2 linked regions of the Lonchura striata genome follow. The protein of the gene in region 2 purifies or fractionates together with the protein of the main gene of each other region. This does not show direct contact. Links are inferred from orthologs where the notes say so. Each region holds a gene or a part of one and is shown on either strand. Other genes may lie near its edges.

What was found.
Region 1: the proteins of PIP4K2A (region 2) and UBE2H purify together in Homo sapiens (affinity purification with mass spectrometry; 3 studies listed by BioGRID and IntAct, with this or other methods). This does not show direct contact. The link is inferred for Lonchura striata from reciprocal best matches to the Homo sapiens genes PIP4K2A and UBE2H.

What each region holds. Positions count from the first base shown.
Region 1 is NC_134607.1:72,062,170-72,072,634, reverse strand, and holds the start of UBE2H (ubiquitin-conjugating enzyme E2 H), read right to left. Parts: upstream 4,711-10,465; 5' UTR 4,650-4,710; coding exon 4,597-4,649; intron 1-4,596. Other genes in the region: ZC3HC1 (zinc finger C3HC-type protein 1), read right to left, coding at 7,397-7,465, 9,306-9,515, 9,637-9,846, 10,013-10,211. UniProt on the Homo sapiens protein: Accepts ubiquitin from the E1 complex and catalyzes its covalent attachment to other proteins. E2 ubiquitin conjugating enzyme that transfers ubiquitin to MAEA, a core component of the CTLH E3 ubiquitin-protein ligase complex.
Region 2 is NC_134603.1:138,983,958-138,994,453, reverse strand, and holds the start of PIP4K2A (phosphatidylinositol 5-phosphate 4-kinase type-2 alpha), read left to right. Parts: upstream 1-6,114; 5' UTR 6,115-6,231; coding exon 6,232-6,372; intron 6,373-10,496. UniProt on the Homo sapiens protein: Catalyzes the phosphorylation of phosphatidylinositol 5-phosphate (PtdIns5P) on the fourth hydroxyl of the myo-inositol ring, to form phosphatidylinositol 4,5-bisphosphate (PtdIns(4,5)P2). Has both ATP- and GTP-dependent kinase activities.

The sequences.
Region 1 (10,465 bases), on a different chromosome or scaffold from region 2:
CCAAAAGCTCACCAGGACTGTAAAATAGTCGTGGTGACACTTAAAAACAATCCCCTACTACAAATCCAAGCACAGCTTCTCTAGGAAATCCAGGAAAAGCAGCTGGCACAACCTCTTGGACCCAGTGGAGGGGAGAGCAAGGAGAGCGTCAGAAAGGGAATGTTTGTTTTCCTGAAATCCCGTGTTCACTTTTGGGGTTTTTCAACTGTTACGACAAAGAAAAGGCCTCCAGAATTTGTTTAATCAGCATTTAGTGCTCTAATGCCACTTCAGAACTGGGAATCTGGGAAGCATCATCCTGCCAGACTACTCAGGGTTCCAAAAACTCTGCTCCAAGTCTAGGGAATGAGGCGGGGAAATAATGAAAATGACCCCTGTTTTTTATTACTTTAAGCAGGGCTGGGATGTCAGGCTCCAACAGGCACTCTGCTCCAAGCAGCCCTAACCAAATGCCTATTTCCCAGTTTGAACTCCATGACTGTGGCAATTCCATGATTAAACAGGTGCATTTGGCTTTCAAGCCAGCTCCCAAATCCTCCCCAGTCCAACTGACAAGGCAACAAAGGGAGAGTGAACTTCCAGCTCCAGCCAATTCTTTGGGGAAACAAAACCATCCAGCCACCAGCAAAGACTCCAAATTCTGCTCTAAAAGCAGCGAGATTATACCCTTGGAAGTTGTCATTTAGGCAACAAAGATTATTTATTTTCCTCCAGTTGGTTTGGGGAGAGATTTATGGATTTTGAATTCTCCTGAAGACAGGCACCACCTCCCAAGCCACGTTTACCTGATTTGGTTTATAAACCACCACCTGTGACAGCCTTTCTGGGAAAAAGGGGGGGCTCCCCCAGTTCTGGGAAGGGGCTGCTGCCACGTCTTTGTGCATTTTGAAGCATCACCACACGATTCCCCTCATCCCTGGAGACCTCATTAAAACAGAGCCCCAGAAGTGGAGCAGAAAGAAGCGTAGCGTGACATTTGAAAATTTACATTCAAAGTTTCCAGAAATATCCATCCTTTAAAACAAAACAAAACAAAAAAGGGGGGGAAAAAAAAAACCCCAAACAAAACAACAAAGCCCCACCAAACCCTACCAAAACAAGACATTCCAGTGCACACGCTCTTCCCTGGGGACAGGCCAAAGAGAACAACTCCACGTGACCCTGCGATTGCTCAACGCTGCTCTTGGAAGGTGTTCAAGTGGGATGATAAGTGCGGTGTAAGCTTATAATGACCAGAAAAAGGAATTTATCCCAAATGTAAACTCTGTCCTAGCCTTTGCCTCCACGGCGCAAACACGGGTGGGGGAGCGCTGAGATTACAAAACGCTCTGCAGGTAAACTAAGGAGCTTTGTACCTTTATTCTCCTTGACTCAGGACGAGCCTAAAATTAGCAGGGAGAGCGACGCTCGGTGAATTATGCTCCCGAACCCCCGGCTCTGCAAACTGGGCAGCACAGGGAGATTCAAACAAAGCTGGTCACTATTTATAATTCCTTTCAGGCACAAAACAGGGTGACACTTCCCTTTTCCAGCTCTGACGCTTAAAAATAGAGCTCGGGGACTCCAAGGCAGCCAGCAGCGTTTCTCCACAAAAGGAGGAAAATAAATCAGCACTAAATAAACTCCCGGCCAAGGGGAAGCTGCGAGCGCAGCGGAACAATAAACCCGGGGGTTGGAACGGGAAACGGCCCCGGGGTTTGGGGGGGATGGGGGTGCCGGGGTGGGTCCCCCCATGGGTGTGAACACCCTGGCAGGGGCACCCCATCAGCTGCAGCCTCGCTCCGCCCCGGGCCCGGTTTCCGGGTAGTAACAGAGCAGCCAATCCGCGGAGTTGCGAGAGCTCGAGGCCTTTTCCCTGCAAACACGGCTCCGAGGCTGGCACTCGCCCCAAAACTGGGGGGACCACAAAGGGGAGCCCCCTCTCTGCCATCCCCCAGGGTGGGAGCTACCTGGAGAGCCTGGCCTGGAGCCCGAGGGCTTCCCAGTGGGATAACCCTACGCTTCCAGGCCGCTGGCGAGCGGGTCTGGAGGTGTTTTGGGGAGCACAGAGCCTTCCTCCAAAAACCCTGCTCTGAAAGGTCACAGGTTACCCAGGAAACTTTGGCTGGAGCCCCCCCAAAAAGGGGAGGAGCGATTCTGGCTCTCTGTTCCCAGCCTCAGCAGCACAACCCCAGTCCGGAGGGAGACAATGAGTGACGGGGAGCTGGAGCACATCCTGGTCCAGGGGATTGTTAAACATCAGTGGCACACATTCCCGCAGAGCTCTGCCCTTCCTGCAGCCCCACCAAGAGCAGCCACCTCTCCCCTTCCCTCCTCACAAAGAGGCTTCCACAAAAGGACACGGACGTGGCAGGATTGAAAATAGGAATCGCAAAAAGACCTCGCTCAGCTCCTGAACCTGTCAGAGCAGGAGAAGGCAGGAGTGGCATTCACCCTGCTCGGTGCCCCCTCCCTGCTGGGAAAGGTAGCCCTTGGCAGGCCATAAATCCATACTATTATTCTCCGTTGGAGACGTGGAAAGGGGATGAAACGGGAAACTGTAATGAAAATGGCAGCAAAAGGTGGGTGGGGGGGGGTAAAAAAACCCCAAACAAAAACCCTCCGCAGCAACAAAACCCTGCAAGCCCCAGGGGGAGATGGCCTCAAGCACATTCCTTCAGACGAGACCCTCCTCGCTGCCGTGTCTCAAAGGAGACCCTGATTTCAGATCAGCTTCCAGAGGGGGAGATTCCCCAGGGAAGCGGCTGGGGAGCCGGGGCCTAGCGAGCTGCTCACCCCGGGCGAGTCAGGCAGACAAACAAAAAAAGGCTGGGGAGGGAGGGAGGGAGAGAGGGAGGGAGGGAGGAGTGGTGAGGAGTCATCTGACACATCCAACTTCCTAAGTTTGTTGTCCGCAGGAGACCGACTGCTCTAACCCTCACCCCTTGGAAAACAAGGAAAGCAGAGCCGACAACAAGAGCTTTGCTTTTGGAAAAGCCATTAGGGGTTCCTTTTGTCAAGGGGCAGAAAGAGCAGAGCAGAAACTGCCCAGCACCGAGAGGAATCCCAGATATTCGGGGCTTTCTACCTACCCAGCTCCTAGAAACACACAGCAAAGCCACTTCGCAGGGAAAAACCTGCTCTTTGTCCTCCAAAATGCTTCGATCGCTGGAGAAGCCGGCAAGGAACGGAACAAAAAGGGAGGGGGGGGAAAAAAGGAAAAAGAGAGGGGGAGGGGAAAGGGAAACAGAGCAGCAGCCGATCAGGTTGGGCCTCGGCCCCGCTCTGGCCCAGAGCTCTTTCCAGGGTATCCCCAAGAAAGGTTTTCCCCCCTCACTAAACAGCTGGAATTCCCGACCCTCCTCCCGGTGCGATTAAGCATCGATCGCAATTGGCGGAGTCTGACATGTGTGTAACTTTAAACCCCCGGATAAAAATAGCTCCGATTCGAGCACCATCAGGACTCATTTCCTATTTGCTTAAAAACAGGGCGAAAAATACACCGAGAGCGGCTTTGTGGGGAGAAAGGCGCTGCGCGAACGTCAGGCAAGTTTCCTTCGATAAGCCACAAACAGGAGCGCTGCTGCTGCTCCTCCCTCTCCCCCCCCTCCAAAAAAACACCACCAAATCCAGATAAGTTTGTTTATCTCTCTCTGGGAACTAAATCAGACCCGTTTCTCGACCCCTCGAAGCAGCACGGCAGAGCCACCAGCCCCGAGTCCTGCTGAGGGAGGTCGGGCACGTTCAGGAGACAGATCCGAGCAACATTTCATCCACTCTTGTCATTGCCACCCTTTCCACGCTCACACCGCCACCTTGTAAACAAAAACTATTAATAAAACAATCCTAGAACCGAATTCCCAATGGTATTTTTCAACGCCACCCACTCTCCAGACAGAGAGAAAAAAGGGATTCACCGCCCCGTAAAGGGCCAGGAATAAAAACAAGGAGGAAAAATATAAACAGATCTATGCAGGAAGAAGGGGAAAAATAAAAAGTAATAAAGGCTAACCAAACCTGGAGGGTTACATAAACCTCTTGGGAGACGGGCTCGGGCCCTGATGCCCTTCACCCACCCCTGGGTCTGCTGAGCCAGACCCCGAGGGACCCCCCGCCCCATCCTCCCCAAAAAATTAAATCCCTAAGCCGGCACCAGAAGCTTCATGAACAGCGGGGTGAAATGGTGGAATAAATACTAATAATAAACCCCACAAAAGCCTTTCTTTGGGCTGTGGCTGCTGGAACTGCTCTCCCCTTCTTCACCCTCCCCAGGGCAGGCAAGGGGGAGTGCGGGGCACCCAGATTGGGGGGGCATCACCGAGGGGAGCCAGCAGAGACACCCCCAGGGCCGCCTGTCAAGGCACAGAGGGGGAAATACCCCCCAAAACACGGCAGAAGGGGGGGTTAGGCCTCCCCTGGTGAGGGGGAAAGGGCAGATCCCACCCCCAGCTCCGGGGAGAGGCCGCGGGGTGCGACCGGGGGGGTTTGGGGGGCGACTCCCGCGGTGCCCCCCGCCCTCCCACCGCCCTGCAGTGCAGGCCCGCGGGTGTGGGGAAGGGGGGGTGAAAAATCCTCCTCCCCCGTGGGCCCGGAGTGGGGGAGGCACGGCAAGGATACAGCTTGACCACGTCGGTGTCCATCCGCCTCTTGCCCGGGCTGGGGGACGACATGGTGGCCGCGGCCGCCCCCGGGGCTCCGGGCGGGCTGTCAGCGCCGCCGCCGCCGCGGGCCGGGGCCGCCCGGCGCCGAGGGGAGCGGGGAAGCGCCGGGCAGCGAGGCGCCGGGAGCCGCCGCTGTCGCTGTCGCCGCTGTCGCTGTCGCCGCTGTCGCCGACAGGGCCGCCCCCCCGCGCCGCTCGCGCTCCCTCAGCCGCTCCGGCCGCCTCTGCCCCAGCCTCTCTCTGGACCCCTGACGTCACCCGCGGTGACGTCACCGCCCCGCGGCGCTGCCATTGGCCGCGCCCTCAACGCTCCGCCGGCCCCCGAGGCACGCCGGGAGTTGTAGTTCTAAAGAGGGGGGGAAATGGTGGCGGGGCGGCGGGTTCGAGGCTCCGCTGGGGCCGCAAGCTGCGGTTCTTCCCTTTCCGATGTTTCCCGCAGTTCCTCCCGTATTCCCTGTGTCTCCCCGTTCCCCATGGATTCTGACACTCCTCTCATTCCCCCATTTTCATTTTGCCCATTCCCACCACAGCCAGGGAACCACCTCATAAACTATGGGGCGCACCCATGTCAGGGCCTTGCAATTCCCCATTTCTATTGTTTTTCCACAATTCCCCACGGTTCCCCTTATTCCCAGTATCTCCCTTGTTCCCTACGGATTCTGACACCCCCTCGCTCCCCTGTTTTCCATCCCCACCAGGGTCAGGGAGCCGCCCCACAGAACGTGGAGTTTGCCCACGGCATTCCGGTTCAATCCAAGCGGGAATGTGGCGGCTGGCCAGGCCCCACAGCAGGAGTCACCATCCCGGATTTCCGCTGTGACACCGGCAAGGCATTTCCCGGTGCCTCAGTTTACCCACCCGGATGATGACACCCCTAACGGGCGTCTCCCAAACCAATGGTGGAACCTCCACACCCCACATTCCTGACCCCGGCATCATCCCATAAATCTGCCCCGGTGTTTCCTCCCCCTGTGGGGAGGAGACACAGCCAAAGAATCCCAAATCCCAAAAAAGCCCCAGCATGCCCGGAGCTTGGCAGGGGCAGGAGGTGACACCTCCTGAGGGGACTCAAATCCACACCCCACAATTCAGGGAGGGATTTGGCAGGGGAACAGGGTTCTCTTTGAGCAGAGCAGCTGCAAAATTTGGGATAGAGGATCCTGTATTTCCCAGGCCACAATATTCCCTGACTGGTTCCAAGCAACTGGGAGAACTGGACACGGAGAATAAGGATTTTACCATCATTTCTTGGAATGCTTCTATTCCATCTGTGAAACACCAGGGATTATTCCAGGATATCAGGGACTACAACCTGTTCCTTTTTTTGGAATACCTCAATGCCACAGCACCCAAACCTTGGAATGTGGGTGCAGAGGGAATTTTGGGGATCCTCTGAGCACTCCTCAGTGTGGAAATTGGGATGGAGGGGTTGTGGCTGGGTTTTCCCACCCTGGGATGGGAATATCATCCTCCCTGGATTGGGTGCATCCCATGATTTGTGGGGTGCTTCCCTGATCAGAGATGGGGGGGAGGCAGGAGAATCCATGGATAGGGAATGTAGGGAATAGAGGGGAGCCATAGGAACCTGCTGGAAATCATTGGAAAGGGGAGAACCAGAGTTCCAGGGAGATGTAAGGAATGGGGAAAGCATGGGGGGCTCATGGGGGATCTGTGGGTGCAGGCAGCTGGAAAAGGGGCTCTTCCCATCCCATCCTCATCACTCTGGATTCGGGGTATCCCCATTCCCACCCCAACTCCCAGCCCAGCAGGGCCATGGGGTGCAGCAGCCCCTTGTTAGGGCTCTGGAATTAGGGAAAGGAAGGGAACCCACCCAAATTCAGGAGGCAGGATCCCAGGAGAAGCCCCCAGGTGGGCAGGTGCATCCCCAAATTTTGGGCTTCAGGGAGAGCTAGGATCTGCCCTGAGCAAGGCAGCCACTGCATTTCCAGACACAGAATCCCAAAATCCATCCAAGAGCACGAGACAGCTGAAACCTCAGAGATGGGGCTGGGGAAATGGAGGCAGGATCCTTTCCAAAATAAAAAAAAAAAAAAGAGGAATGACATATCCCTGTGCCTCCACCCACATCCACAGACCTGGAGGGAGGAGACACAACTGTGCCAGGCTGTCTGTGGAATCCCAGCCCTTCCCAAAGCCCTTTCCCCAAAATCATCCTCAAGGATGGGGATGACACCATTTCCTTCCCAGCATGGAAACTCACCTCTTGCCAGGTTTTTGGGAATCCCACCTTCCAACCAGAGGGGTTCATCACCCCAAACTGGCCCTCAACAGAGGGACAGGGATTGAGGCAATGGAAAAACGCCCACAACAGGCAAAGGAGACAACAAAATGAGGAATGGGAAACAGGGAAGGCACCGGGATGTTGATCCCATAAGGACAAAAATCCTGAGGGATACAGGGGCCACACCAGGCCCAGAGCTCCTCCTACCCCGGGGAGAAGCACCACGCCAGCAGGAAGGAAAAAGAAAAAAAACAACAAAAATGAAATGTTTATTCCCACCTGGCATCACCAGGGAGGTGACAGCGTCCCCTTGTCACCCCGGGCACGTGCCAGCTGCGGGCAGGGCTGTGCAGCCCTCGGAGGGGGGGACACAGCAGCAGTTTGTGAAGGCAGCCGGGGCAGGGGGATCCCAGCGTGGGCACGGAGCTTCCTCGGGGCCCTTCCCGGGGCACGGAGCTGCCGCAGGAACCACGCAGAGCTTGGATCTCCTCCCCGTGCTGCTGCCCAGAGGCTGCTCAGGAGGAGTTCATGCTCTCCCACTGGCGGAAAATGCGGAACACCTTGCAGGATTTCTCCGAGAGACTCTGGAAAAGATGGGGACAAAGCAACAGCCGCAGGTCAAGGCGCTGCAGCAGAAACTGCGGCAAAAAAACAAATCTAAAATATCCCAGCTGGCTGCCAGGACAGAGGTTTGCTCCTTGTTTTCATGGTCCCAGTTTGCCAGCTGGAGGGGAGAACAAGGAGACGACAAGCAAGAAGGAGGAAGGGACCCCAAAAAGCAGGAAAAAAGACCAAAAGGCAGGAAGGGATCCCAAAAGGCAGGGAAAGGAGCCCAAAAAGCAGGAAGGAATCCCAAAAAGCAAGAAGGGGCTCCAAAAAGCAGGAAGGGACCCCAAAAAGCAGGAAAGGACCCAAAAAGCAGGAAAGGAGCCCAAAAAGCAGGAAGGAATCCCAAAAAGCAGGAAGGAATCCCAAAAAGCAGGAAGGGGCTCCAAAAAGCAGGAAGGGACTCCAAAAAGCAGGAAGGGACCTCAAAAAGTAGGAAGGGATTCCAAAAAGCAGGAATGGACCCCAAAAACAGGAAAGTACCCTAAAAGCAGGAAGGGACCCCAAAAAGCAGGTAAGAATTCCAAACAGCAGGAAGGGGCTCCAAACAGCAGGAAGGGGGTCCAAACAGTAGGAATGGACACCAAAAGGCAGGAAGGGATCCCAAAAAGCAAAAAGGGCTCCAAACAGCAAGAAGGGATCCCAAAAAGCAGGAAGGGATCCCAAAAAGCAGGAAAGGACCCGAAACAGCAGGAAGGGACTCCAAAAAGCAGGAAAGGAGCCCAAAAAGCAGGAAGGGATCCCAAAAAGCAGGAAGGGATCCCAAAAAGCAGGAAGGGATTCCAAAAAGCAGGAAAGGACTCCAAAAAGCAGGAAAGGAGCCCAAAAAGCAGGAAGGGATCCTAAAAAGCAGGAAAGGACTCCAAAAAGCAGGAAAGGAGCCCAAAAAGCAAGAAGGGACCCCCAAAAAGCAGGTAAGAATCCCAAAAAGCAGGAAGGGGGTCCAAACAGTAGGAATGGACCCCAAAAGGCAGGAAGGAATCCCAAAAAGCAAAAAGGGCTCCAAACAGCAGGAAGGGATCCCATAAAGCAGGAAGGGATCCCAAAAAGCAGGAATGGACCCCAAAAAGCAGGAAAGGACCCGAAACAGCAGGAAGGGATCCCAAAAAGCAGGAAAGGACTCCAAAAAGCAGAGAAAGGAGCCCAAAAAGCAGGAAGGGACTCAAAAAACCAGGAAGAGCCTCCAACCATCCCCTGCTCCAGTTGGGTCTGGTGCCTCTGACTTGTGACTGGTCCCACCGGACCATCTGGAGCTTTCCTGGCACATGGCAGAATCACGGAATCGTGGAATGGTTTGGGTTGGAAGGGACCTTAAAGACCACCCAGTTCCAACCCCCTGCTGTGGGCAGGGACACCTCCCACTAGAAAGAACCTTTTGGGGACACAAAACCACTCGGAACCCCCAGGACAAATCCTGAAGGGGGAATGCTCCACCGCTCCCCTGAGCTGCAAACGAAGAAGGAAGGAGCTGGCAGGAGGAATCCAAGTGGATAATGAGATCCAGGGAGGCAGCAGCTCCTCCAGAGCCACATGGGGAGGGAGCTGTGGCCTCGGCAAGCCTGGCAAGCCAAGAGCCTGGAGCCAGGAACTGGGATGGCTGCAGAGAGGAGCTCTGGGCACACGGAATGAAACTGGATCTTGAGCAGCACTGTTATTTATAGCAGCCCTCCAGCAGCTCCAGCACAGCCCAGCCTTGGATGGAGCCTGGCTGTGGGAATGCCAGCTTGGTCCTTGTCACCTGGCTGGGACCGATCCCAAACAAAGCCCACCCATCCCAAATTTTTGCTGCCTAGACAAGTTGGGATGCCCCAGGCTCACCACTGGCTCCGTTTCGGGCGCTGTGTCACATTTTTGGATGCCAAGGAGCCTCTTCAGCACCACTTCCCAGCCTGGCTCAGCCTTCCCAGGCTCCTTCTCTGTCTGGGATGCAGCATCCTCCAGGGACTCCTGTCCCTCCCCAGTGCTGACCCAGGGACACCAATCACGGTGCTGAGAGCTGGGGTGAAAGAAGCTCCTCAAGGAAGTGTCCTGGGAAGCGAGGAGGTGACAGAGGAGGGACACAACGATGGGATGGTTTAGAGACTCCCACTGGGAGTGGCTAGAGGGACAACACCAAATCCCTGGATCCCACCCTGCCCGGGGGGCTCACCGAGCTGCTGGAGGAGCAGAGCCGCGCCCGCTTGGCCCTGCGGACAGGACTGGATGGCACTTCCATGGTGTCCCCCTGTCCCATGCTCCGGGTCACGGGGCGGCTCCTCAGAGCGGGGCTGATGGCATCCAACTCGCCCCTGTCCATGGAGCTGGGAGAATCCCAACCCCGCGGCCGGGACACAGCTGGGGACAGGCTCTTCTCGTGCTGCTGCGGGGAAAAAAAACGGGATTCACGGAGCTCCTCTGCTCCAACCCTCCTCAGCCACCCCACAGGAGCCCTTCCCACCCCACGGATGCGTTCATCGGGTGCGGGTGAGGGACTTGGAGCGCCTGGAGCTGGCCAAGTGTCCCTGGCCCAGTGTGGCAGGAGGTACCTGCTCGGCTCCCGGGTCCTGGCTCCGGGTCAGCATCCGGCGTGGGGACGTGGGGACGGGCGGGACGCTGCTGCCGGAGCCGCAGGAATCCGGCTCCGGAGCCGCGGCACAGTCCAGCTGGTGGAAGCCCCACAGCCCCACCTTCCTCATGCAGCGGGAGCAGGTGATCACCGAGAGGTTGACGGAGCCCGAGGCAGCGCTGCAGGGACAGAGGCACGTCATGGGATCCACATGGAATCCTCACAGGATCTTCATGGGATCCTCACAGGATCCTCATATCTTCATGGGATCGTCATGGGATCCTCATTGTATCCACATGGAATCCCCATGGGATCCTCACAGGATCCTCACGGGATCCTCACAGGATTCTCACAGGATCCACATGGGATCTTCTTGGGATACTCATGGGATCCTCACAGGATCTTCATGGGATCCTCATCTCTTCATGGGATC
Region 2 (10,496 bases):
CCTAGAAGCTCTTCCTTTTGGTCTCCATTGATGTTTCTACATGCACTCTGTTATATTAAAGATAGTAAACTACTTCATGAGAGGCAGAGTACATTCTGTGCTTGTGGAAAGATCCACTAATTCCACTGGTGGCATCACACCTCTTTAATAAGGTTTCCAAGCAATGTGAGTTTGCTCTGGTTGTGCTCTTTTATTCAGTCCTTGTGAAATGCAGAAGCTTTGCATTCAGTTATCAAGAAACGGGACATTCAAAGTCTCAAACACTTGTATATATTGAGGAGTGGATTTCTTTAAAGTTGAGTAGGAACTGCCAGTCAGGATTTTAAATGCACAGTAACCCAGAGAATTCATCTCCTCCTCCATTTTCCTAAGTGCTTTACATGAGAACTAGATCCTGACTAGATTTCTAAGATATAGCTATGGACTCACTGAAACTTCAAAAGAGGTTTTACTGTCACATCTTGGCCCTTCATTTTTTTCTTAGTGTCTGGACCATCATCACAACATTTATGTTAGTTTGTTCACCAGTGATGTGTGAAGTGAAACAAGCACTTTTGCCTGCAATGAAGAATGAATGCAGTTGTGGAGATACGTGATCCAAGAGATAGAATTATAGAGTCATTTAGGTTGAAAAATCCCTCTAAGAACTAGTCCATCTATTAACATAGCACTCCCAAGTCCATCACAAAACCAGGTTCCTAATGGAGATGTCTCTCCATGGGCATTACAGGCAACACAGTACCAGGTTTACTCTTAGCTCTGAAGTGTTTAAATACTGTTCCAGCAGGTCTTTCATCTCCCATTTCTGTATAGGTACCATGAATGCTGACTGCAACATATACTTATAATGTCATGCTGTAAAAAAATCTATTAATGGACTGAAATACAACTTCCATGTCATGACAGGCTGTATGAATAAAACTTACCTCACACCTGTACAAAACTGTCCCTAAGGCATAAGGGAACAAAGAAAAGACCTGGATTGTGTGCACACTCTCTCTGTAGAGAGACTGTCTCCAAGGCTTAGTTTACAATAAGGATTAGGGTACATTTAGAATTAGGGTCTGCATCTTCAGTTGGAATGGGTTTACAAAGGAGCTTCAGAGAAAAACAGCGCAGAGAGAATTTGGAAGGGAAAGTGTTTTGGTGTTGGCATTGGTGGGGTATCCTGGTCTAAGGCTCACCCTGTGGCCATGGTTAAGGCTGAGAAAGAGAAACCTATGGGGAAGGCTAGACAGTTGGAAGAGGCTAGAAAAGAGCTCTCAAAGTGAAAGGTGGGCTGCAAAGAGAAATTGGCTTCAAGAACTTCTTGTTCTGGGCAGTGGCTGAGGGTCATGTCTGAAGCTCAGCCTCTGAGATTAAAGTCAGGGTTAGGCTTGGGAGGGGGAGTCATTGAGCTTCTGCTGCAGTGGGACTGTGAAAGAATGGATAACTGGAAGAAGGAGAATTTTGTTCCCATAAGTTTTCTGTTTGACCTAGCCCAAGGTAAATTGTAGCCCAGGATTCAGCCTTAGGCTGGGTTTATTGATATGACTGGGTTGACCTTGGCTGGATATCAGTGCCCATCAAGTTACGCTATTACTCCCCTCCTGAACTGGACAGGGGGAGCCTCCTACCCAGGTTCAGCTTCACTGCCAATTTTATCTATCTTTTCCCCCAGTGGAGGAATGGGTGCCTGTGATCAGGTCATTACACACTGTCTTTACTGCTCCATTCTCCTTCTTCCTCCCTTGCTCCAGTGTGAGGTCCCTCCTACAGGAGACAGTTCTCCATGAACTTCTCCAACATGAGTCCTTCCCAAAGGCTGTAGTTCACAAACTGCTCTAGCATGGGCCATTTCCACAGGATGCAAGCCCTTCAGGAGCCGACTGCTCCAGCGTGGGTTGGCATCTTCTCACAGAGGCCACCCCTATAGCTCCCTGCACAACCAAAACCTTGCCTTGCAAATCCAGCAGAGGCTAGGGTTAAAATTAGGGTTAAAAGAAAGAGAGCCCAGAGTTGCACTGAGAGTTGAGTTAGAAAGGAGGTGGGCTGCAAAGAGAACTTGGCTGGGAGACTGTTTTGGCTTGGGAATTAAAAGAGGGGGTGACAGCATTTAATTATGTTTACATCAGGATTAGAGTTAAGGATGGGAGAAAGAGCCTAGAATTCCAGCAGAAGGAGAGTTAGAGAAGGGCTTTTAAGGGGAAGTCTAAGTTAAAGGAACTTGGCAGGGCTGCCTGGTCTGAGGCCCAGCCTACTCTTAAGGTTATTTTTGACAAGAGAGTGTAGTACCGCAGCCTTAAAACACCTGGGATGCAAGAAGAACTTTGTTGCAAGAACTTTTTGATATGACTGGTGCTCTGCAGTCCTGGTCTGAAGTCCATCATACAGCTTGTGTGAGGGTTAGGGCTGGTGCTAGGAGCCAAAGAGACCCTAGAGCTGCAGATGAAGGGAAGCTTGAGAGCAGCTGATAGTGAAAAGGTTGGGCCACAGGGATAACTTGCCTGCCAAAACTTGGTGGTGGAAGCAATGGCTGAGGGGCCTGGTCCAAGGCTCAACATAACTTCTAGGTGTAGGGTGAGGTTTGAGGTTATGTTTGACAGAAGGAAAGAGACAACAGCTGCAGCTGGCTCAGGGCTAGAAAGTGACTGTCCCAGGGAAGTGTAGGCTGCCAGAAGAACTTGGCAGCAAGAACTTCCTGGTGTGGGCACTAGCACCATATCCAAAGCCCAGCATATGGTTTGTTTGAGGCTTAACGTTAGAGCTATGAGACACAGAGGACCTGGAGTTGCAGCTGGAATGGAGGTACAAAGCAGATCTTAAAAACAAAAAAGGTGTGGTGTTGGAAAGGATGGATAAATATAATTATTCATAAATAATACAGCCAGGATGAGAACAGTCCTCCCAGCTAGCCGGACAATGCCCCTGCCTACGGATGGGTCCAGGGGTCAAGTGGACTGTTCCATCTCAGCCCCTAAAATGTATGGTTCACCTCGCATCTGTAATCCTCCCCTAAAACATCAAGTGCCTGTAACCCCATTGGCCCGAGCCTTGTTCCAGCCCACCTTGAAGCCCCCTAATAAGGGGTCTCCGAGGGGCCAGACCCTCTCTTGGAACTTCCCCTCCTCTTGGAACTTCCCCTCTCCTACAGCATCCTTTTGTCTCTCCCCTCCCCCATCCTCTCAAGCCTCGCCACGTGCTGGTCTGGCAGCTCGAGGCAGGACCTTTCTGCATCCCCAATAAACCTTGTAACCCAAGAGCAGCCTTCAGAGATGTCTCATCCTCATTCACCTAAACCGTCCTGGAGCTCAGCGCTCTCTACAGTGTGGGGTAGAGCAAATGTGGCAGAGAGAATATTTTATTGAGGGCACTGGTTGGGGGACCTGGTCTAAAGATCTGTGTTAGTGTTAAGGTGGGCATTTGGACAGAGAGAGCCTAGAGCTGCAGATGGAGGGAGCTTAAAAAGGGAACATGTCAAAGGAAAGAGTAGAACATGAGAAGAACGTGGCTGTGACAATCTTTTGGTGCGGGCAATGGCTGGGGACCCTGCATTGTGACTCAGCATAAAATGACATTTTCCCTCAGGTCATTGCTAGAACTGGGGGAGAGAGAGCCCTGGAGCTCCAGCAGATGGTGAGTTAAAAGAGGTTTGAAAGGGAGGTCTAGGCTGCAAGAAATGGACTGTGAAATTTTTTACTGTGGGCATTGGCAGGAGGGCCTCAGCCTCTGTTCTGTTTTAAGGGACAGGATTACAACTGAGGGAAAGACATCCCAAGAGAAGAGTAGACTGCAAATGTAATCAAGTTTTGTCTCTTCAAGTGACTTCTGAGTTCAGCTGCATCTGTCTCATGGATTCAGTGGAAAACCTGTGCCCACAGTGGTTCCTACAGGAAAGGCAAGTACAGGCAACCATCTTTGTTTGTGGCACTTAAAACTGAAGAGGATAAATCTTTGCCTCAGACTTTGTAATGTAAATAGCCCAGGCCCTTGAATTTTTAAAATTTTGCTGTAATTGTTATTGTCAACATCCTCTGTTCTTCTGATAAAACCACCTTCTTTAGTGAGAACTCATATTTGCAGAGAAGAGCTCCTTAGAATCTATGCCAATATGACAAGAAAGTCTTCTGGAAAAAAGAGCAACTTCCTTCTTCAACCTTCCCTATAAAAAATCTACTAAAATTTTAATTATTTATAAACCAAAATGCTTAACTATAGGGATTTGCTCTGGAAAGATGAAGAAAGACACATGTGTGGCAGATGTTAGTCATGTTGATGTGCGTAGCATTGCACAGTGCTCAGATGTCGTGTTCTAAGTGTAATGTAAGGGATAAAATGGGTACTGAACTCTTCCAAAAGTCTGACTTCAAATCTATATTTAGGCATCTAAGTGACCTGCTTTTATTCAAAGGTGCTGACGACTCAGTTGCTTCCATTGACTGCAGCAGAACATAAGGGATTTTTTTGTTGTTGAATCCATTTTCAAGAACAAAAATTACAGTTGAGTATCTCTGTAACTCCTAAGTAACTCTGCTGGGGGAAAAAAAAAAAAAAAACAAAACAAAAAATGAGCAGAAAATTAAATACATCTCTGTTTTATCATACTCTCCATAATATGAAGACAAGGGACCATATAATAAATCCCAGTAACTGCTTCAATGCAGGAGGGAGATTAAACATTACTGCTTTAGATTCCAGCATGATAGATAACTTTGCTGTTGAGATCACAATGGCAAAAGAGAAATGGGGACGTGCAACACATTTTTAAATTTATGTAAGCTTGTGTTGGGGTCCCAGACTCAGGTATTGATCTTAGTTGCCCTGAACAGCCACACTGGGAACACATTCTGCCCAGGACCTCCACTTAAGCTCAGGGAGGGCACAGTTTAGGTCTCTGCCTGAGCTATGTTGTAGGTATACCTGTCTCCAGCTCTGTGTTTTGGTTATACCTTGGGCCTCTCTCGTAGGCAGCTTGCCTGCACCTCTGTTTCTGGCCCTGGATAGAACCTGTGCCTACGTTGTGCCTTCCTGGATGGACATGGTTCATCACCTCAGCTTCTCTGGGACTGCTGATGTGATGTATGCTCTTGCCAGCACCCTGCCCACCAAGTGTGGGCCCTGTGCATCCATGCCTTGTCACTGAGAGCACTGGTTGCAGTGGGATGACCCTCACTTGTGGTTTGTCCACCTCATGGAGCTGCCCTGCTCTTGCTTCTCCCTAAGGATCTGGTCACCTTGCTGAAGCATCAGATGATGAACAAAGCAAGATCTACAGCAGGCAGGTCAGTTTGTGTTATTCAGAAGCTGATGTATGACTTACTGTAAAGGCTCAGGAGATGTATGCTCTGTGTTACCCGTGGGTACTGGCCCCGAGCAGTGACAACAGATGTCATTGAGTTCCTCATCATACAGTGGAGCAAAACTTACGCGGTGTTCGATATTTCTGAGCTGGGCAGATGTGCCTTTACAGGATGTCACCTGTCACTGACCACATCCTCTGTGGCCATGGAGACGATCAAGAAACATTCTGCTGGGGGTGTAACAGCACAGCGAGGTCACAGCGGTGCAATAGTCTTGCAGGGGACCGAGCTTTCTGTATTTGCGGCACGTCGGCTGCAGGAACCGCTCTGCTCAGGGAGCCGAGCTGGGGCGGGAGCAGCAGGCACAGCCCTGCCGCAGAGATCCCTCTCATTCCTACAGATCGCTGGCAGAGGGAACTGGAATCACACAAGCTGTACGAAGTTACGGCGTGAGCCACCAGCTCGCTAAAGAGCAGGGCGATGGGAGGCTCGGTTCCTCAGAGGACTGGCGACGGCGTGAGGGCCAGAGGCCAGCGGCCGACAGCCCCTTTCCCGCGGGGCGGGGCGGGGCCCGCGCCCAGCTCCGCAGGCCCCGCTCCCTGAGGGGAGGGCGGCGCGGCGGCCCCCCCGCCTCGCTGCCCGCGGCCGCGCAGGCGCCGCGCGCGGGGAGCATGCGCAGCGGGGCGGCAGAGCCGGCGCTCCGCGGTTCCCGCGGGGGCGGGGCGGGCGCGCGGTGCGTGGCGGGCGGGCGGCGGCCGCTCCCCGCGGGGGGGGCGGGGCGGGGCCGCCGCGCCGAGCGGGGCCATTTCAGCCGCCAGGCCGGGATGCGCCCGGCGTCCCGCGGCTGCCCGCCCGCCGCCCGCTCGCCCGCGGGGCTGCGGCGCTGATCGCTCCTGCCCGCCCGCCGCTCTACCCCACGCCAGCCCCTTCCACCTCCGCCGCCGGCAGCGCCATGGCGGCCCCCAGCAGCATCGTGCCCGTCATGGCGAGTAAAACCAAGACCAAGAAAAAGCACTTCGTGGCGCAAAAAGTGAAGTTGTTCCGGGCTAGCGATCCGCTGCTCAGCGTCCTCATGTGGGGGGTCAACCACTCGGTAAGCGCCGCCGTTCGACCCACACGAGCCCGCCCGCCGCGCTGGGGCATCGCACCCGGGGGCTGCGGGGGCGCGGGCGGGACTGGGGCAGGCACGTGCCGCCGGGAGCCCCCGCCGGCTGCCGCCCCTCGCCCGGCGGGGCCGGGAGCGCCTTACCCCGGGAGCGTGGGGTGTGCGGCGCGGAGCGGCTGCAGCGCCCTGCCCGGGCGCGGACGATGCGCGGGGGCCGTGCGGGGCGCCTGCGGTAGCCCGTGTCCGCCCTTTGGCCCCGCGGTTCCGCTCGGCGGCAGCGGGCGGGAGGTGCCCGGGAGGGGACGGTGCTGCGAGCGGAGCCCGAGTAGCTCCGCTCCTGCCGCCGGCACCGCGCGGGCGTCGCATGGATGTGCTGCAGTTGGGAAAAATCCCGGTTATCAGTGGGAACTGGCCAAGTTCGTCCCGCGTCCGTGCTGTTCGCTTCGGCAAGTGTCCGCTGCCAGTGTGCGCGGGGGAGGGGAGGAGGAAGGGCTTGGTGTGGTAAGGCGGCAGAACTGCACCATTTGCGAAGTGCTCCATCACCCTGCGGGGACGGGCGGCCCGGGCTCCGGGAGAGCTCCCGGCCGGGCGCTGGTCTGCGTTAAAATTAGGAGTCTGGTAAAGGTGTCACATGGTTTGGGCATTACGGGGTTCAGGTCGCAGCTTTGCATCTTTAAATAGCCGCCATGGCAGGTTAAAAGTGTAGAGCCCAAAGATCGTCAGAAATCGGGTATCAGGGCAGTTGAGCAAAGAGCGTGTTCCCTTCTGCTGGCGGAGCGCAGCCTGTACGCCTGTGTCGGGTTTGCATGGGTTACGTCTGCTGCTGAGTAACGAGCCTGTAAGAATGTCAGTGTGCAATTTGAGATCAGACTACAAATTTTGAAACGGTCTCATGAAACCGACAGAGCAGCCTGTAGTATTTGCTCACTATTCCTTTTGTTTCCTACACATCCATAGCCCATGAATTTTTTACCTCTGTGGATGTTTCAGTAGTTTTTGCCCAAAGTCTGTGCATCAAGCCTGGGCTCTGTTAGACTGTGTTAAACAGCACAGTGCCTGAAGTAAGGATCATGGGGAAATGCTTTGGCTGTATGTACCAGACAGAGGAGAAGCTTCAGTGAAGTTGAACAGTCTGTTTAAGGTAGCACTGTGGGTCGGTAGGTAATGGTGACAAAGGATTTCAAGTTTTCAGTAGGTCAGTTGTGAGCAGTGACATCTATGTCATGAACTGATAAGACAGTAGTTATTTATCTACAAAGCAGAAATATCTTTAATTGTGGAAGTGCATGATATTCTGATTTGCCTGATTTGGGCTTAAATACCCACATTTCTTTTGCTCCTTTTGTAGTAGCCAGTGTTATAGAAAATTCTCAAACAGGCCTCTTTAATGAAAGAAAGCAAGCGAGTAATTACAGGGTGAGAGAGTTGTACTGAATGGCAGCGTGTGCTAGCTGTTCACTGTCTTCCTGAGGAGAGGGGGAGAAGATCACTGATGAAAGCAGAGATCTTCCTGTTGCAACAGCTCGTTGCTATGTGAGTTCACAGTGGAAATACCACTACTTTTAGAGGAAAGACCTCTTCACTACAGTAATAACCAAGTATATAGTGACAAATGCAACACCATATGTGATTCTCACCATCCTGCAGTCATGTGCTGTAGTGTGCTTAGCTGTTCTCAATAGAAAATGTAATAAAGTATGTTGGTTCATGCACAGAAGATGCGAAATTGTGAACTGAAGTCCTCTCTTTGGAGAGGTTCAAAAAAAAAAAACAACACCAGCAACACAACAGGCTCAGAGAAAAGAGGCTTTGCATTCACATGAAGGTGATGGTTGTAGGTGTGAATATCTGTTGTGTTCTGCAGATGGCATTCCATTTCCTTAGCCCACTGCAAAATGTAGTCATGAGTAATGCTTGGAGGCCCTGTGGAAGTGAAATCCCACTGAATGAGAGAGCATGGAAAAAAAAATTTAATTTGATGTGTCCAAATTAAACATCTCTTCCTGGCCAAGAATGCATCATTGAAGTGTTGCAGGCTTCTCTGTTAGATGCTTTTCCTGTCATTTTGTAATGCTTCATGTGGCAATGTCCACCAAATGAAAATAAGTGTGCAAGCATGGTTTAACTCTGTTATCACAAATAAGAGTTTCTCATGGGAGAAATACAAACTATGTGTATTAATTAAGAACAGGAGTTAGGAATCCTTAGGTTTCTTAGCAGAATAAACAGAAATCCATAAGCAAAAGCTAGACTAAGAACAGAGCATAGATTATAGTTCATGATGGGAGTCATTAAACTTAGAACACAGTAATTATCTGGAAAATTATATTTAAGACTGTCTGTAGTGCCTGTCAGTTAATGAGAGAATAGAAATATGAGTCTTACTAACTGTTTCTTGGGGAATAATATATATATATATATTGAAACAGTGAAGCTGAGATGCAGTTCCTATGTTTCTGACATTGCTGCATGTTTTGGAAGGAAACACTTGGTGAAGATAAAGGAAAAAGATTATTTTTCTGCAGGTGTATTCATTTTTTTAGTCTTAGGACTATACTTGATTGTTGAATATGGGAGGATTTTCAGAGTTTGAAATTGAATGTGAAAAAATTAAGAAAAAAACCTCAACAAACTGTTGTTTTAACTCTCCTGTCCTAGAAGGAAACATGACTCTAAAGGGAAAACCTAAACATTGGTGTCACAAAGCTGAGGGCTGACAGCAGAGGTGTGAGTTCTTAATGGGGGGGGGAAATTTGCAGAGGCATGCCTGTTACCCAAGGTTCTTATCAATTACCCACACATTACAATGGTAAGCAACTTGCTGTTACTGTTTAGATAGAAGTAGAGGGGATACCTAATGCAAAGTCCTGTTTGGTAGTACAGTCAAATTCAGTAAACTTCAAAGGGCATGTGAGAGGAAAACATGAAACATTATCCAATGTCTTACGAAGCAATAAAAAATGTGTTCACATTCACAGCTGTAAATTCATTTATCAGTGTTCTGACACATTGCTGTAGAATGAAGCTTGCTGCTGAGTGAAAGGGAAAGCAACTGTGTCCCATTTTGTAGATCTGATTATAATACTGATGACTTGTAGCAGCAAAGACTAATTGTCAGTGCTTGGATCTTGCAGGCATCTGCATCATTAACAGTTGATTTTTATCTTTGTCTTTTACCCCAGTGTCAAAGATAATCTGGCTGTGCTACTGAAATAAATATTTAAACTCAGTGGTTAGTATGACTTAAAGGTATATTTTTAGCTAGCACCATAATTGTATTTAATTTACAAGTGATGTAAATAACATTCTTATACTGTCACTGCTGCTGGATTTCCAATAACTGTAGGAAGTAGGAGAGGAAAGGAGGGTGGCATATAACTTGTTTTCTGTGCCTAGAAATGAAAGCCACAGATTCTGTGTATTCTGCATCCTATAATCATCCCAGGCACATTGATGGTGAATGTGCTCTCACTAGAATTGGTTGCGTGCTTCCGTTAGGAGCTTGTTAGGAAAGCTGGGAATTTGTAGGCTTAGGTCCTTCAAAACATCATCCTAAAAGATGGCAGAAACTAATACAAGTGGGGTTTTTTGTAACTAATTTTGAGGTAAAGAACAGACTGCTGGAGAGCTTGCCTACTGTGTCAACCATTAAATGTATTTAGGAGATGAGCATGAATGCCTAATGAGTTCAGCATACTGTATAAGTTTAAAAAAACCCAACCAAAACCAAACAGCCCCCCCCCCCCGCCCCAGCCCCTGGAATCTGTAATCACCATCTGTTTCTTGGATGATTACAAGCTGATCCAAAAATTTAACAGTGCCCGACTTCTCAATGGCACTTGCTGCCTAATAAGCAAGTGTGGAGAAACAAGAATACATGGATAAAATTACTTCCCCCCCAGCACTTTGTGGAGTACATCAGAAGGAGTGTACTTTCTGTGGCTAAAGAATTCAACACACTCCAATGAACTCCATGACCTTCTTCAACTGCTCACATGAGGCACTGTGAGCTTGCTGCTACTGTTGCACTGTTCCTTGTATTCTTGCTTTATTTTTAACAGAAGTGGAGCAACACCAGGAAGGAATAATTGTAAAAAGAGCTGTGGGACTCT